2 linked regions of the Anolis sagrei genome follow. The protein of the gene in region 1 purifies or fractionates together with the protein of each later gene. This does not show direct contact. Links are inferred from orthologs where the notes say so. Each region holds a gene or a part of one and is shown on either strand. Other genes may lie near its edges. The genes, in order: CNOT2 and TNKS1BP1.

What was found.
Region 2: the proteins of CNOT2 (region 1) and TNKS1BP1 purify together in Homo sapiens (affinity purification with mass spectrometry; 5 studies listed by BioGRID and IntAct, with this or other methods). This does not show direct contact. The link is inferred for Anolis sagrei from reciprocal best matches to the Homo sapiens genes CNOT2 and TNKS1BP1.

What each region holds. Positions count from the first base shown.
Region 1 is NC_090025.1:143,578,984-143,587,155, reverse strand, and holds the start of CNOT2 (CCR4-NOT transcription complex subunit 2), read right to left. Parts: upstream 3,254-8,172; 5' UTR 3,112-3,253; coding exon 3,073-3,111; intron 1-3,072. UniProt on the Homo sapiens protein: Component of the CCR4-NOT complex which is one of the major cellular mRNA deadenylases and is linked to various cellular processes including bulk mRNA degradation, miRNA-mediated repression, translational repression during translational initiation and general transcription regulation.
Region 2 is NC_090021.1:233,713,918-233,721,892, forward strand, and holds the start of TNKS1BP1 (182 kDa tankyrase-1-binding protein), read right to left. Parts: upstream 3,265-7,975; 5' UTR 2,887-3,264; coding exon 2,800-2,886; intron 2,759-2,799; exon of another isoform or gene 2,655-2,758; intron 2,522-2,654; coding exon 2,380-2,521; intron 1-2,379.

The sequences.
Region 1 (8,172 bases):
TCCATTCACACAGTTTTGCAGATATAAACTCTACTGTACACAAAAAATCACTCAATCTTTCACCAACAAGATCCTCAACCAAACTGAAGTTATATCTGTGAACTCAAGATCCAAAATTGTGCACTTCTGAGTACCACTATTTGCATACCAAAATAACTATCATATATTCCAGGTAACTTTTAATTACTGCAACTAACACAAACTGCATGGTTTACCATAGATTTCAGTTTGTGAAGGTTGTGCAGATTGACTTAATTCACAAAACTCCTTTGTGAAAATCAAGGTGTAGGGTACAAAATTATTCAGAGACATCACAAAAATCTGCTTCAGTTACATAAATACTAAATAGTATTTCAGTAAAAGTATAGCTGAATAAGTATGGTTTATTAAGTATCCTGATAAGCACTAAGTGTTTCCTTTATAGGACAATGTTTTTTACAGTTGTCTGATGAACATTTAGGACTCAACATCAAGGACTTAAGACAGCATCAATGACTGAAAGAATCATGCAATCCTAAAATGAAATTTCTGACAGAAATGACCCTTGGTGATACAAAGCATTCCAACTTTTACTTCACATGAGAAGTTTAAGAAAAGCAGTAACCATCTTTATTAAACATTTATCCAACCTGTGCTGTGGGTAGAAAACACAGTAAGTACCTGTAACTTCTTCTAAAAACTTTTTCCAAAAAGTGTATGAAGGGGAAAGAAATCCCTGCATACATTTAAAAAAACCATGTCCAAAGAGTAATATCAGATTCCTCTGCTAGGAGTATGAATACCTGCTGGATTCTTTTTTCCAAATAATAAATGCCTGTATAGTTTTTATAACTGTGCAAGTTAGGTTCAGATCACTTTCTCCTCCATGTTTTGGAAAGAATTTTAAAACAGACTTAAACTGTATGATGACTACAGAATTGGTGCAATGTTCAATACATTTTATGATGTTTTAATATGCTTAATATGTTTTAATTGTTTTTATTTGTATTTATATGTTTATTGATTTTTAGTTAACTATGTCATGTATTGCTTTTTTCTTATGTATAATGTGATATTTAATTTTGCCAAATTGTAAACTGCTCTGAGTCCTCCTCAGGGTGAGATAGAGTGGGATAGAAATATACTTAGTTAATTAATTAATTAAGACTGAGGGGGGGGGAGGGCAGACAAGTTGGTTAGAAGTGAAATGTGATGACTGACTAGCTCTTTTCCTCAAGTATTTTGCTGAAGATTTCAAAAGTTCAAAGCCTTTCACACCAATGTTAATTACACTGCAAAACTGAAATGTCCCCAATCCCTAGCAAAAATGACCTACAGCCTTGTGTCAGAAGCTTACATGCCTCTTTTGTAAATTATTAGTATTTCAGTTGGTAGAAACACAGGCAGCATTGCATGACATCAACTACCTGGGATGTTTAGTAGTCCAGTGTAAACTATAAATAAAGGACCCTTCCACACAGCTGAATAAAATACCACATTTTCTGCTTTGAAGTGGATTATATGGCAGTGTAGATTCAGGGCCTTTCCACACGGCCCTACATCCCAGAATATCAAGGCAGAAAATCCTATAGTATCAGCTTTGAACTGGGTTATCTTAGTAAATACTCATATAATGTGGGATTTTCTGCCTTGATATTCTGGGATATAGGGCTGTGTGGAAGGGCCCTCAGATAATCCAGTTCCAAGCAGATACTGTGGGATTTTCCAACTTGATATTCTGGGTTATATGGCTGTGTGGAAGGGCTCAAGCAATTTAAGAATGACAGATTATGGAATCACAGGGTAACTACAATTATTTATCATAGTATTATTTTAAAAGACAGTGAGTAAAGAAATCTTCCCTATGGGGAGCATCTGTAGAATTAATGTAATTTTACACTGACTGCTATGGCTGAGGGTCCTTCCACACAGCCATATAACCCAGAATATCAAATTGGAAAATCCCACAATATCTGCTTTGAACTGGGTTATGTGAGTCCACACTGCCATATATTCCAGTTCAAAGCAGAAAATGTGGGATTTTTTTCAGCTGTGTGGAAGGGGCCTCAGTGCTATGAAATTCTGGGATTTGTAGTTTGGTGAGATACTCGTATTCTTTGGTTGAGAAAGCTAAAGACTTGGGGCCCTTCTACACAGCCCTATATCCCAGAGTATCAAGGCAGAAAATCTGCTTTGAACTGGGTGATCTGAGTCCACTCAGATAATGTGGGATTTTCTGTCTTGGTATTCTGAGAAATAGGGCTGTGTGGTAGGGCCCTTTGTAAAAGTACAACTCCTAGGTCTCCACAGCATTGAGCTAAGGCTGTTAAACTGGTGTCAAACTGCATTAATTCTACAACGGAATATGTATTCTACTCAAAGCAGAGAGTGATGAACTACAATTTATAGTTACAATGCATTGTTGTTGTTGTGTGTCTACATCTGCAAACTTGGGAAAACGCTTGCAAAAGTTTGCTCCCTGGGTGGAACAAGGCTACATCCCCACTGACCACTGAATGCAGTTTCAAACCGGAACTGAAGAAAGTGGTTTCGCTGTGCAGATGATTACATGGAGAAAAATACAGAACCAGCCTGAGGCCCAGGCGGTGATTGCACGAACTGGGGGAGCACGGGGGCACATTCAGGGCTTGCTTTGGCGCACTTTTGCCGGAGTTTGTGGCCTGGCCGCGGCAGTTTGGAAACTGGCTCCCAACCGCGTTCCTTGCCCAGTATGGATTGGGGGGAGACCCGAGTCCCGTCCCCCAAAAGGCCCGGCTCTGTGGCGAGAGGAGACGCAACTCCAACGCAAACAAAGGACCCCTCGCGTCCCGCCAGCGACCCAGGCCAGGGCTCCGGCCTTCCTTCTGCGGAGCCCTCGAGGTGGGCCCGTGTTTACAAAACAACCACAACAAAACCCTTCCACGCCGCCGGTTTCTCCCAAGTTTCCTTCCCACCAAAAACTCGCCAAAGAGGAGGCAGGCGAGCAGGCCTGCTTGGTGGCGGGAGCCTCCAGATCCCTAGGCCGCAAAGCCCGCCACCGCTGGGAGCCTCTGCGCATGTACAAAGGGCAAGCCTGGTCCCTGGGTGCCTTACCCTGAGGCCTAAGGAGGCGGGGAGCTCGGATGCGGGCATAAAGGACCGCCGCCGCCACCACTGGAGTCGAGAAAGACGGGAGCGAGGCCTCCTTCCCCTTCGGAAGCCAGGGAAGGCAGGCCGGCCTCGGGGCTCCTTCCTCCTCCTCCTCGTCCTCAAGCGCTGCGCCTCCGAGCGGCCTTGCCCGCTTCCCCCTTCCCCTCAGGCATCCCTCCTCCTCCTCCTCCCCTTCCTCTCTTTCTCTTCCTTCCCTCAGAGAGACAAAAGCAAACGGAAGCGGCCCGGCGGGACCAGGCCGGCCTTGAGCGCCTCCACCCGGGCAGGCGCCTGCCAGAAGCCCCCCTTGGCTGCCCGCCGCTTCCCTGAGGAGGCTTCGAGCCGAGCCGCGGCGCCGAAGCGGGGGAAAGAATAACAGGGCCGCACTCACCGCATGAATTTTCTTGTCCCGAGGATCCAAGATGGCTGAGCACCCCGCACGGAGGATGCTGGGGGAGCGACCTTTGCCCTCTGACCCCGACGCTGCCGGCGTGACCTCGACGTCGCCGTCCGGCGGCCACGGGAGACGGCGCCTCTCCTCCGTCGCCGGCCTCGCCGAGGGAGAAGGGCCCTCGCTTACGGCCTCGCAAGGAAGGAGAGGAAGAAAGGGAAGAAGGGCCCCAGGACAAGGCCTCAGAGCGGCCTCGTGGGAGTCGAGAAGAGAGCCTCAGACATCCGGGGAAAGCGGGAGGGAGGGAGGGAAGGGGCCTCTCTTCCACTGAGAAGGAGGGACGGAAGGAAGGAAGGAAAGAGGGAGGGAGGGGCCCTTTTCAAACATAAACACACACCTCGGTTGCAGAAGAAAGGAAGACTTGCCCTGGCACCCCTTGGGAAGGATTGGGGGCCCTTCCCCACAGCCCAAAATAGCATGGCAGAAAATCCCACCGTGTGGACTCAGATCACCCAGTTCAAAGCAGACATCGTGGGATTCTCTGCCTTGATATTCTGGGATATAGGGCTGTGGGGAAGGTCTACAGCCTTCTCGGCCAAAGAATACTAGCATCTCACCAAACTACAAATCCCCGAATTTCATAGCACTGAGGCCCCTTCCACAGAGCTGAAAAAAAATCCTACATTTTCCGCTTTGAATTGGAATATATGGCAATGTGGACTCAGATAACCCAGCTCAAAACAGATATTGTGGGATTCTCTGCCTTGATATTCTGGGATATAGGGCTGTGTGGAAGGGCCCTGAGTCCACACTCAGATAATGTGGGATTTTTAGCCTTGGTACTCTGGAATACAGGGCTCTATGGAAGAGCCCCCTGACTCGGAGGCTCTCAGCACTATCTATTCTGAGGGCCCTTCCACACAGCCCCACATCCCAAAATATCAAGGCAGAAAATCCCACATTATCAGAGTGTGAACTCAAATAACCCAGTTCAAAGCAGATATTGTGAGATTTTCTTCATTGATGTCCTGAGATAGAGGACTGTGTGGAAGGGCCTTAAATTCCCTTCCAAACGGCCATATCACCCATGATGTCAAGGCAGGTCATTCACAATATCTGCTTTGAACTGGATTATCTGAGTCCACACTGCCAGATGATCCAGTTCAAAGCAGATAATGTGAGATTTTATTCAGGGCCCCCAGAATATAATAGAATCATTGAGCTGGAAGAGATCTCATGGGCCATCCAGTCCAACCCCCTGCCAAGAAGCAGGAAAATTGCATTCAAAACATCCCCAACAGATGGCCATCCAGCCTTCCAAAGAAGGAGCCTCCCCCACACTCTGGAGCACAGAGTTGCACTATTGAACAGTTCTCACATTTAGGAAGTTCTTCCTCATGTTCAGGTGGAATCTCCTTTCCTGTAGTTTGAGTGATATTATTATTATTACTATAACTTTACTTTTGTACCCAGCCTCCATGTCCCCGAAGGAACTTGAGGCAGCTTGCATACAGCACAATGTGCCTAAAACAATGCATAAAATAAACAATGCAATAAAAGATAAAACCAATAGCATATAAAACAATTTCAACTCAATAACCTATGGTGAGAACTGTTGTAAAACATCGCCAACTGTATACAGGAACAAGGGAATAGGATAGTGCAAGTTGTAGCCATTGTTCCACGTCCTAGTCTCCAGGGCAGCAGAAAACATGCTTGCTCCCTCCTCCCTATTACTTCCCCTCACATATTTGTACATAATCATCATGTCTCCTCTCAGCCTTCTCTTCTGCAGGGTAAACATGCCCAGCTCTTTAAGCCGCTGATCATCAAGGCAGATCATTCACAATATCTGCTTTGAACTGGGTTACATAAGTCCATACTGCCAGAACTTCTATGTAGATTTTATACAGCTTTGTGGAAGTATCCTGAGAAGATTTCCCTTCTCGTCTTTGCCCCACAAAACAAGCATTTTCAAACCTGATGGAATTCCAATAAGAACTTCTTTGCCCTTTCTTCTACATGGTGTCTTTTCAGGCCATTTATATAGGCATGCTTGTTTAATTTATATGCCACTTTTCAGTGGGACCCTAGGAGGCTTCTAAAAATGATACAGGCAGTCCTCGAGTGACAAACACCTGACTTACAAACTACTCATAATTAAGAACGGGTGAGACAACAGGAAGGGCAGTCTATCCTTAGGAAGGAGAAGGGAAGGGAAATTCACTCCTGGAAGAGTGATCAGGGGAAAAAGGTATCTCTAGTGGAGCTTTATCACCCATCCTTGTCTCCACAACAAGCCACATTTTCCAAAATCCAGAAAGGGAAGTGGAATCTTCTCAACAGCGGCACAGACAGCAAAACAGACCCCACAGAGGTGTTGACCCCTATGCTATCCAAAGCTTATATATGTGTATGTGTGTGTGTATTTGGCTGGAGTTATACTTTTAAAAAGTACATGTTCCAACAAAATAAACTTGAGAACAAACCTACAGGACCTATCCTTTTCATAATTTGGAGACTGCCTGCAAATTATTTTTTTTTACCCTACATGTTAAACACACACACCAAAACAGCCTGTTTTCAGAGGAGGTGAAATTCAAGTAATAAGAATCCCTTCACCACAGGAGTTTATGTGTGCTTTCTTACCTGTAGTAGCTTTTCAGACCACTTGTATGGCACTATATATATGAGAGGCTTTCCTGTTTTTCTTTAATTTACTTGTACATGCTGCTATTTGGAAAAACGGTATATTATAACCATTTGCCTACAACTTTAAAAAAGAAATAAAATCCTACCAGAGTACATTTTAAAATACATTTTAAATCCAATAATCAAAAGTTTAGTAAAAGAGTAGTAAAACACCCCCAATAAACCCACCCCACCTCTTTACTAAAAGCTTGGGAGGGACCTTTAACAAGCACAAACCAACACTGTGGTAAAGGCGGGGAGGTACCTCTTCTCTCTTTGCCCCTCACAAAACAGACAGGTTGAAATTCCAGTAATACCCTCTTCACCACAAGAGTTTGCTGTCTTTTAAGGTGATTTCTATGTGGTTATTTTTCTCTATGCTTTCCATGTTTGTTAATGTATATGCCTCCCTTCAGAGCGAGACTACAATTAAAATCCTATTATGATACATTTTAGAATCAATTTAAAATATTCAGTAATTGGATAAGATGGGTAAAACATGCCCGACCAAAAACCCCCTTATAGCCTAAAAAGCTTGGAAGGGACCTTTTAACCATTACCAACACAGGGAGCCATAGCTGCCCTGGCTAAGAAGCCATCTCTTCTCTCCTTATTTCCCCAAAACAGTCTGTTTTCAAACATGTTAAAATTTTAGTAACAATTAAAATTGTGTCATAATACATTTTAAAACCAACTTAAAACGGTTTAATAACATTAGTGAAACATGTTCCACAAAAAGCCACCCCACATTATATAACATTAGCTTGGTAGGTATATTTTGCAAGCACAAACACATACCTTGCCGCAGCAAGGCCACCCTTGCATCATGTAGTAAAGGTTTGTCTTTCACAAAACAGGCTTTTTCAGACATGATGAAATTCCAACATGGGAGTAATATCCCCTTCCCCAGAGGAGTTTTCTTGCCCTTGTCAAATGTGTCTTTTTAAGTGATTTATATATAGTTATATTTATGTGTGTTTCCCCAGGATTTTTTAATATACTGTTTTGCTTTCAAAATAGAATAAATTAAAAGCATTTGCTATTTAATTAAAAATATAATTAAAATTCTATTATAATAACATTTTAAAATCAATTAAAATATACATTTAGTTTGATTAGTAAAGCATACCCCATAAAAAGCCACCCCACTGTATGTACAACATTTTTGGTTAAATAAAAATGCCTGCCGACAAAAGGACAACAGGAAGGGAGTTTTAAAGGTGGGAGTAGCCATTAAAAAGGCTCTTTTCCTACCCTCACCAAGACAACTGGTGTTAGTGATTGGACCAAAATATAATCTTGTCCTCAGTATCTTAGTGGCACATTTAGGGTTCTTTGTGCTAAGAGTCTGGATGTTTATGGTGCATTCTTCAAACACAAGTCTGTTCCATTTGCTTCAGGGATGCATATTTGTAAACCTGGTTTATGTCCCTTTCCCCCAAAAGCGAAGGGTTTTCAGTGAACCCGGAGAAGGGTTGTACAAATGTGTGATATATTCAATGCTCTTCTGTTTAAGGAAATCATTTTAGAGCTGGTCTAGGGCATTTCTACTGCAAGGAGTGCTGATGCCAGTTCCCAAGTGATTAACTGCAAGTTCCCAAAGAATTTCCAGGAAAGAAAAAAAAAATAGTTGCAGCCAGTTTGCATAAATTCAGTTCTGCACAGCATTCCACACTCAGGGAACTGCATTTGAACAAGGCCTTTGTCCCAACTGAAAAAGAAAGTTAAAACCAAGCCTGCTGAAGGTATGCTAAACCCTATTGAGCCTATGAAAGTTAGAAATTACTTGGGGCAACCGTAGGTTAACTGTTCTGGCATTGTGGCGATATTATGGACTCAGTTGTTACTCCCTTGTCCCACCCTCTTCTTCATTACTTTTTGGTTCTTCTGCTGTTAAATTTGCTTTGCTAACAGACATCTTAAATCTGATTACACTTGTGCCTAATCCTACTCTAGTATAGCTGGTGCATCTCTTAGTAAGA
Region 2 (7,975 bases), on another chromosome or scaffold:
GGTGGGTGGAGTTAAGGAACAGTTAAATCACCACACACAGTAACTAAAATACAAGATGGGAAATCACTTCCTTGTATACCCACATACATAAAACACCTGAACAATATCTATGCTCTGAATTTCAACAATATCTATGCTCTGAATTTCCAAACCATATTTCAAAGGACAGATTATAACCAATGACAAATGACAATGAAAAATGACAAAGCCATGCATCTTCTTTCCAAGTCCTTTACTCCAATTTCTTTTTACAGCTGTGGTTTCTTCTCAGGTTAGACCACCTTGTGTTAGGCACCACTAAGTATAAAAGCACCCATTGTTTCTCTCCATTAGATTATTACAACCAGCATTAAACAGAAATGGGGTAGAAGCTGATTAGAGCTGGGCATATTTTGCTATCATCCCTATTACAGCAAAATCTAAAACCTCATTTCTATTATGTTTCTCATAAAGCCACTGTGAAAGTTCTATACACTTGTTAATTCAGGGAAAGGTACAGCTATGGGGATGTTAATCACTATGATAAGGTAATGAACACTTCCTCAATGCATCAAAATTCAGATACATGGCTACCCAATGCATCAAAATTCAGATACATGGCTACCCATGATAGGCTTCAGTTATTTGTGTATAACTGGAGCATGACTAAGAATAAAATTTCACAGAGCTGGACTGGTGGGCAGTGAAACTAAGAGCACTCTTCGATAGTTCATTTGTAAGTAAAAAAAAAAACAATTAGACCTCAGAAACATTTAGTGTAGCACTGCTCCTCTGTAAATCTATAATCTCACAGTGCTATCAGCACAAAGAAAAATTAAAGATGATATGTAACGTTGGACACAAGCTAGACTGGATGAGCCTCTAAATTACTACTAATACCACCTGTGAAGTCCCTCAGGACTGCATATAAACTGTAATATCTTTAAGGTAAGAAGAATCATATGACACAGCTCTTGGAGGGGGGGGGAGCTCCACTGCAAACAGCAGTTGATGAATATACGTTTGAACCATATTAAAAAAGAAGACAAAGAAAAAAATCCTCCTCATGCATATAAAAGTAAGAGCCTACAGCACTCCAATTAAGCATGAACGATATCATGTAATCTAAAAACAAAAACAACTGGTTCTCAACTCTCAGATGACCCATCACCCCTAAACAGGAAAATCCAGAGCCTCTATAAATTTGATAAAACAATGCATGATTTAATGACAATTGACGCATCTACACTGTCAAATTAATGCAGCTTGACATCACTTTAAATTGCCATGGCTCAATGATATGGAATCTTAAGATGTGTAGTCTGGTGAGGCACCAGCCCTTTTGGGCAGAAAATGATAGATATTATTATTATTATTATTATTATTATTATTATTATTATTTCTTGAGGCTCGTGTGGGGCACAACACAGTTAAAAACACATAATTGTAAAACATTATGCAAAATATTGTCGAAGCCTTTCATGGCCAGAATCACTGGGTTGTTGTAGGGTTTTCTGGGCTATATGGCCATGTTCTAGAGGCATTCTCTCCTGACGTTTCACCTGCATCTATGGCAAGCATTCTCAGAGGTTATGAAGTCTGACCTCATAACCTCTGAGGATGCTTGCCATAGGTGCAGGCAAAACATCAGGAGAGAATGCCTCTAGAACATGGCCATATAGCCTGAAAAAACCTACAACAACCCATTATGCTAAATACATCTATTAAAATGTATTTCTATGAAATACATATATTAAAAATCACAGAACAACAATTAAAACAGCAAACACAAGACATGAGTAGAAAATTCAGTTTAGAATTGACTGGGTAGCTGTATAAGAAGAGATTGGTCTAATTTAGTTGTCGGATTTCTTCTCGCAGGTCATTCTAGAGACCTGGGGCAGCTGATGTAAAGGTCCTCTGAGTGACAGTCAAGTTCTGTCTGGTAGGAGTAGCAGCCCCCAGAGGACCTAAGTGTGCAGGGTGTATTGTATGGGAGAAGGTGATCCTGTATGTAACCTGGACCTAAGCCATGTAGGGTTTTAAAGTTCAAAACCAACAGTTTGTACTTTGCCTGGGGCAACCAGAAGCGTGACTATAGTATAGATGTAATACGTTCACTCCTGGGTGTTCCTGTAACTAGTCTGGCTGCTGTGTTTTGAACAAAGGGAAGTTTCCAAACTTGGTGCATAAGTAGCCCAATGTAAAATGCATTGCAGAAGTTCAAGCTTGAGATTACCACCTCGTACACTATCAATTTTAGGTATGACTACAACACCAATGATTCCATAGCATGGAGCCTTGGCAGTTCTAATGGTGTCAAAACTGCATTAATTCTACAGTGTAGGTGTACCCAATGATACTGCTCCTCAAGCTAAAGGCTAAAATCACAGGACATACCTGTCTCTGGGTTGCCTGATGGTTGCTTGGGCCCCCCACGTCCATTGGCAGCAGTACAGGGAAGGAGGGAGGACAGCGGCTGGGGCTTAGGATCCATCACATCACCAAGCTGGGATTCAGAACTCCACATAAATGTCAGTCCCTAAAGCAGAAAAAGATGAGTTTAGACAACCTGTGGAAAAATATAAATCTGTAAACAGGTTAACAAGGTTTCCTATCTCTTAGGACACCAAAGCCCCCCCCCCCCCCCCCCAAGTTTGGTATAACCTTTCCACCTGGTTCCTTTTCCAGCATAAGCCTCCCTTTTTCTTTTTCTTTTCTTTCTTTCTTTCTTTCTTTCTTTCTTTCTTTTGTTTTGGTTGTTCCTTCCTTTCTAATCCCAACACATTCAGGAGATATATGGATTAAAGATGTCCTTACTAACTTAACTATAGGGATCCATGGGCTCTTTTGCACAGACGCAGAGTCGGTTTCATGGCAGGCCGCTCCCAGGGCAGGCTGGAACATGGATGAAGGGAGCGAGTCTCTTGCAAGCACCCAGGCCGTGACTCATGTTGAAGGATGGGAATGTGACACTCATAAAGCTGTTAGCTTTCTCTTGCTCTGCTCCACGCAGCACTGCCCCTGCTCCACCTCTGTCACACCCTGCCAGAGACACTGCTCCTTCTCATGCCAAATCTGTGCCTTGAACTCTTGTGCTGCCTCCTTTCCCCCTTCCTTTGTCACTTTGCCACAACACTCCCCTTTGGCTGCCTTGCAAGCCCGAATCTCCCTTCTCTTTCCAAGCCCTTGCTTCTCCACCCCTTCGAGCAACAGGAAGCGTTGCTGCTCGGTCCTCCGTCTCAGCTGTGTCTGCTCCCAACCCGGATATGCAGAGCAGCGAGTAAACATCTGGAGTACTTCCCCCTCCTCCCGATTTCTCAATTGCTTGGCACCGGCCCTGGAATTCAGTGAGGTAAAGCTGGGGCCTGCTCCCGTCGCTACGGCAACAGCCTCCCACTAGATTTCTAGAGAGGGCCAAACCCTGGCCAGGAGGAGGAACAGGGTTATGGGGAGGGTGCGTGCCAGAAGCCGTTCCAACTGGCTATTGCTCTGCTAGTTCAGCACTCAAGAACAGAAGTGAACCCGAGGATGAAAAGGAAAACTCTCCCGCCGTGTGACAAAAACGGCCTGAGACTGAAACACAGCCCAGAGAGTGTAAACAGCCCTGCTCCGTAGCTTGCATCTGAACACCAGGCCGAAGGAGGTGGAACCACACAGTCTCTCCCTTTTAAGGGAAATTTGAAAGCAGGCAGAATGCCTCTGAAGGAGAGAGAGAAAAAGGCAGAACAGACATTGTTGTTCTTGCCGCTCAGATACTTCATTTTTCTACAAGCCACAATGGATCCCAATTATTTTCATACTCCTCCAGAGCTGTTTGCCAAGCCTCTACCAGGGTCGCATCTTGTGTCTATTTATACTAGTCTATATATATCAAAATACTAAGGGTTTCACAGGCAAAGACATGGTAAATTATCCAGACAAAAGAATATTATTATTATTATTGACACAAAAACACAATATGGCACAGCAAACGAGATATAAATGCTGGATTTTGTATCACATTATTATTATTATTATTATTATTATTATTATTATTATTATTATTATTTTACTGACACAAAAACACAGTATGTCACAGCAAATGAAATATATATGCTGGATTTTGTATCACATTATTATTATTATTATTATTATTTTACTGACACAAAAACACAGTATGTCACAGCAAATGAGATATATATGCTGGATTTTGTATCACATTATTATTATTATTATTTTACTGACACAAAAACACAATATGATACAGCAAATGTGATATATATGCTGGATTTCGTATCATTATTATTATTATTACTAGCTTGGGGACCCGGCGTTGCCCGGGTTATTAGAGAAAGTGGGTAATGGCGGTTCTGTATGCCAAGTTTGGTCTTTATTGGTCTTTGGATAACGGCTGCATTATTTTTAGGAAGTGAGTGAAGGTACTTGAAGTCCCATCATCCATGGCCCATCCTCCTACAAACAGCAGCAGGATATAGAATGGGTCATGGGGGCTCTGTGTGCCAAGTTTGGTCTTTATCAGTCATTAGATGAGGGTGGCAGTGGTGTCAGTAAGTGAGTGAAGGTACTGCAAGTCCCATCATCCAAAGTCCATCCCCTTTCAAACTGCAGCAGGATGTAAAGTGGATCATGGGGGCTCTGTGTGCCAAGTTTGGTCTTGATTGGTCATTAGAAGAGGGTTACAGCAATCCTTGGAAGGGAGTGGAGGTACTTGAAGTCCCATCATCCATGGTCTGTCCTCCTCCAAACTGCAGCAGGATGTAGAGTGGGTCATTGGCGCTCCATGTGGCAAGTTTAGTCTTGATGAGTCATTGGCGAGGGTCTCAATGGTCTCAGGAAGTGAGTAAAGGTACTGCAAGTCCCATCATCCATCTCCAAAGTTTTCCAAACAACACCAGGACGTAACGTGGGTCATGAGAGGTCTATGTGGCAAGTTTGGTCTTGATCCGTCATTGGATGAGGTTTGCAGAGGTCTCAGAATGTGAGTGAAGGTACTGGAAGTTCCATCATCCATGGTCCACCCTTCTCCAAAACTGCAGCAGGATGTAGAGTGGGTCATGGGGGCTCTGTGTGCCAACGTTGGTCTTGATTGGTCATTAGATGAGTTTTGCAGCAGTCTTGGGTAGTGTAGGTACTTGAAGTCCCATCATCCATGGTCTGTCGTCCTCCAGACTGCTCCAGGATGTAGAGTGGGTCATTGAAGCTCCATGTGCCAAGTTTAGTCTTGATGAGTCATTGGCGAGGGTCTCAGTGGTCTCAGGAAGTGAGTGAAGTGGCTGCAAGTCCCATCATCCATTGTCAAATTCTTCCAAACCGCACCAGGATGTAGAGTGAGTTATGCGGGCTCTCCGTGTAAATTGTGGTCCTGATCCATCATCGTTGGCAGTTGTAATGGTCTTAGGAAGGGAGTGCAGGTATTGCAAGTCCCATCGTCCATGGTGCATCCTCCTTCAAACTGCACCTGCATGTAGAGTGTGTCATGGAGACTCAGTGTGCCAAGTTTGGTATTTATCGGTAATTGGATGAGGGTTGCAGTGGTCTGAAGAATTGAGCAATGGTACTGCAAGTCCCATAATCCACGGTCCATCCCCGGCCAAACCACACCAGGACGTACAGTGGGTCATGAGAGGTCTGTGTGCGAAGTTTAGTCCTGATCAGTCATTGGATGAGGTTAACAGAGGTCTCAGAATGTGAGTGGTGGTACTGCAAGTCCCATCATCCATGGTTCATCCTCCTCCAAACTGCAGTAGGATGTAGAGTGGGTGATGGGGGCTCTGTGTGCCTATTTCGGTCTGTATTGGGAGTGTTCTGACCCAGCCCCCTTTGGCCTTTCCTTTCCTCTCTTTGTCATCTCGGAATGTTGGATTTGAGGCTGGCCAATCAGAGACCATATGCAAATTTCCTTCTGTCATGCCCCGTTTCTGCCATGAACCCTCTTCTCCACCAGGGGCTCCTATTGAAGCTGTCCAATCAGAGACCATATGCAAATAGCACCACAGTGGCAGCCAATCAGAACGCTGCCACATACACTTCCGCCCTCCACAATTCCTCTGTCCTATACAAACAAACACTCTTCTTTATTATATACTAGCTTGGGGACCCGGCGCTGCCCGGGTTATTAGAGAAAGTGGGTAATGGTGGTTCTGTATGCCAAGTTTGGTCTTTATTGGTCTTTGGATAATGGCTGCATTATTTTCAGGAAGTGAGTGAAGGTACTTGAAGTCCCATCATCCATGGGCCATCCTCCTACAAACAGCAGCAGGATATAGAGTGGGTCATGGGGCTCTGTGTGCCAAGTTTGGTCTTTATCAGTCATTAGATGAGGGTAGCAGTGGTGGCAGTAAGTGAGTGAAGGTACTGCAAGTCCCATCATCCAAAGTCCATCCCCTTTCAAACTGCAGCAGGATGTAGAGTGGATCATGGGGGCTCTGTGTGCCAAGTGTGGTCTTGATTGGTCATTAGAAGAGGGTTGCAGCAATCTTTGGAAGGAAGTGGAGGTACTTGAAGTCCCATCATCCATGGTCTGTCCTCCTCCAAACTGCACCAGGATGTAGAGTGGGTCATTGGAGCTCCATGTGCCAAGTTTAGTCTTGATGAGTCATTGGCGAGGGTCTCAGTGGTCTCAGGAAGTGAGCAAAGGTACTGCAAGTCCCATCATCCATCTCCAAATTTTTCCAAACAACACCAGGACGTAAAGTGGGTCATGAGAGGTCTATGTGCCAAGTTTGGTCTTGATCCGTCATTGGATGAGGTTTGCAGAGGTCTCAGAATGTGAGTGAAGGTACTGGAAGTTCCATCATCCATGGTCCACCCTTCTCCAAAACTGCAGCAGGATGTAGAGTGGGTCATGGGGGCTCTGTGTGCCTATTTCGGTCTGTATTGGTCATTATATGAGTTTTGCAGCAGTCTTGGGTAGTGGAGGTACTTGAAGTCCCATCATCCATGGTCTGTCGTCCTCCAAACTGCTCCAGGATGTAGAGTGGGTCATTGATGCTCCATGTGCCAAGTTTAGTCTTGATGAGTCATTGGCGAGGGTCTCAGTGGCCTCAGGAAGTGAGTGAAGTGACTGCAAGTCCCATCATCCATTGTCAAATTCTTCCAAACCGCACCAGGATGTAGAGTGAGTTATGCAGGCTCTCTGTGTAAATTGTGGTCCTGATCCATCATCGTTGGCAGTTGTAATGGTCTTAGGAAGGGAGTGCAGGTATTGCAAGTTCCATCGTCCATGGTGCATCCTCCCTCAAACTGCACCTGGATGTAGAGTGCGTCATGGAGACTCAGTGTGCCAAGTTTGGTATTTATCGGTAATTGGATGAGGGTTGCAGTGGTCTGAAGAATTGAGCAATGGTACTGCAAGTCCCATAATCCACGGTCCATCTCGGCCAAACCACACCAGGACGTAAAGTGGGTCATGAGAGGTCTCTGTGTGAAATTTGGTCCTGATCAGTCATTGGATAAGGTTAACAGCGGTCTCAGAATGTGAGTGGTGGTACTGCAAGTCCCATCATCCATGGTTCATAGTCCTCCAAACTGCAGTAGGATGTAGAGTGGGTGATGGGGGCTCTGTGTGCCTATTTCGGTCTGTATTGGTAGTGTTCTGACCCAGCCCCCGGCCTTTCCTTTCCTCTTTTTGTCATCTCGGAATGTTGGATTTGAGGCTGGCCAATCAGAGACCATATGCAAATTTCCTTCTCATGACTCCGTTTCTGTCATGAACTCTTTTCTCCACCAGGGGCTCCTCTTGAAGCTGGCCAATCAGAGACCATATGCAAATAGCACCGCTGCCCAGCCAATCGGAATCTTTGAACTTTCAGGCTGGCCAATCAGAGACCACAGTGGCAGCCAATCAGAAAGCGAGCACATACACCGCCACACTTTTGTCCTCCGCATACAAGTTTTGACTTTTATTATATATATAGACTAGCTTGGGGACCCGGCGCTGCCCGGGTTATTAGAGAAAGTGGGTAATGGTGGTTCTGTATGCCAAGTTTGGTCT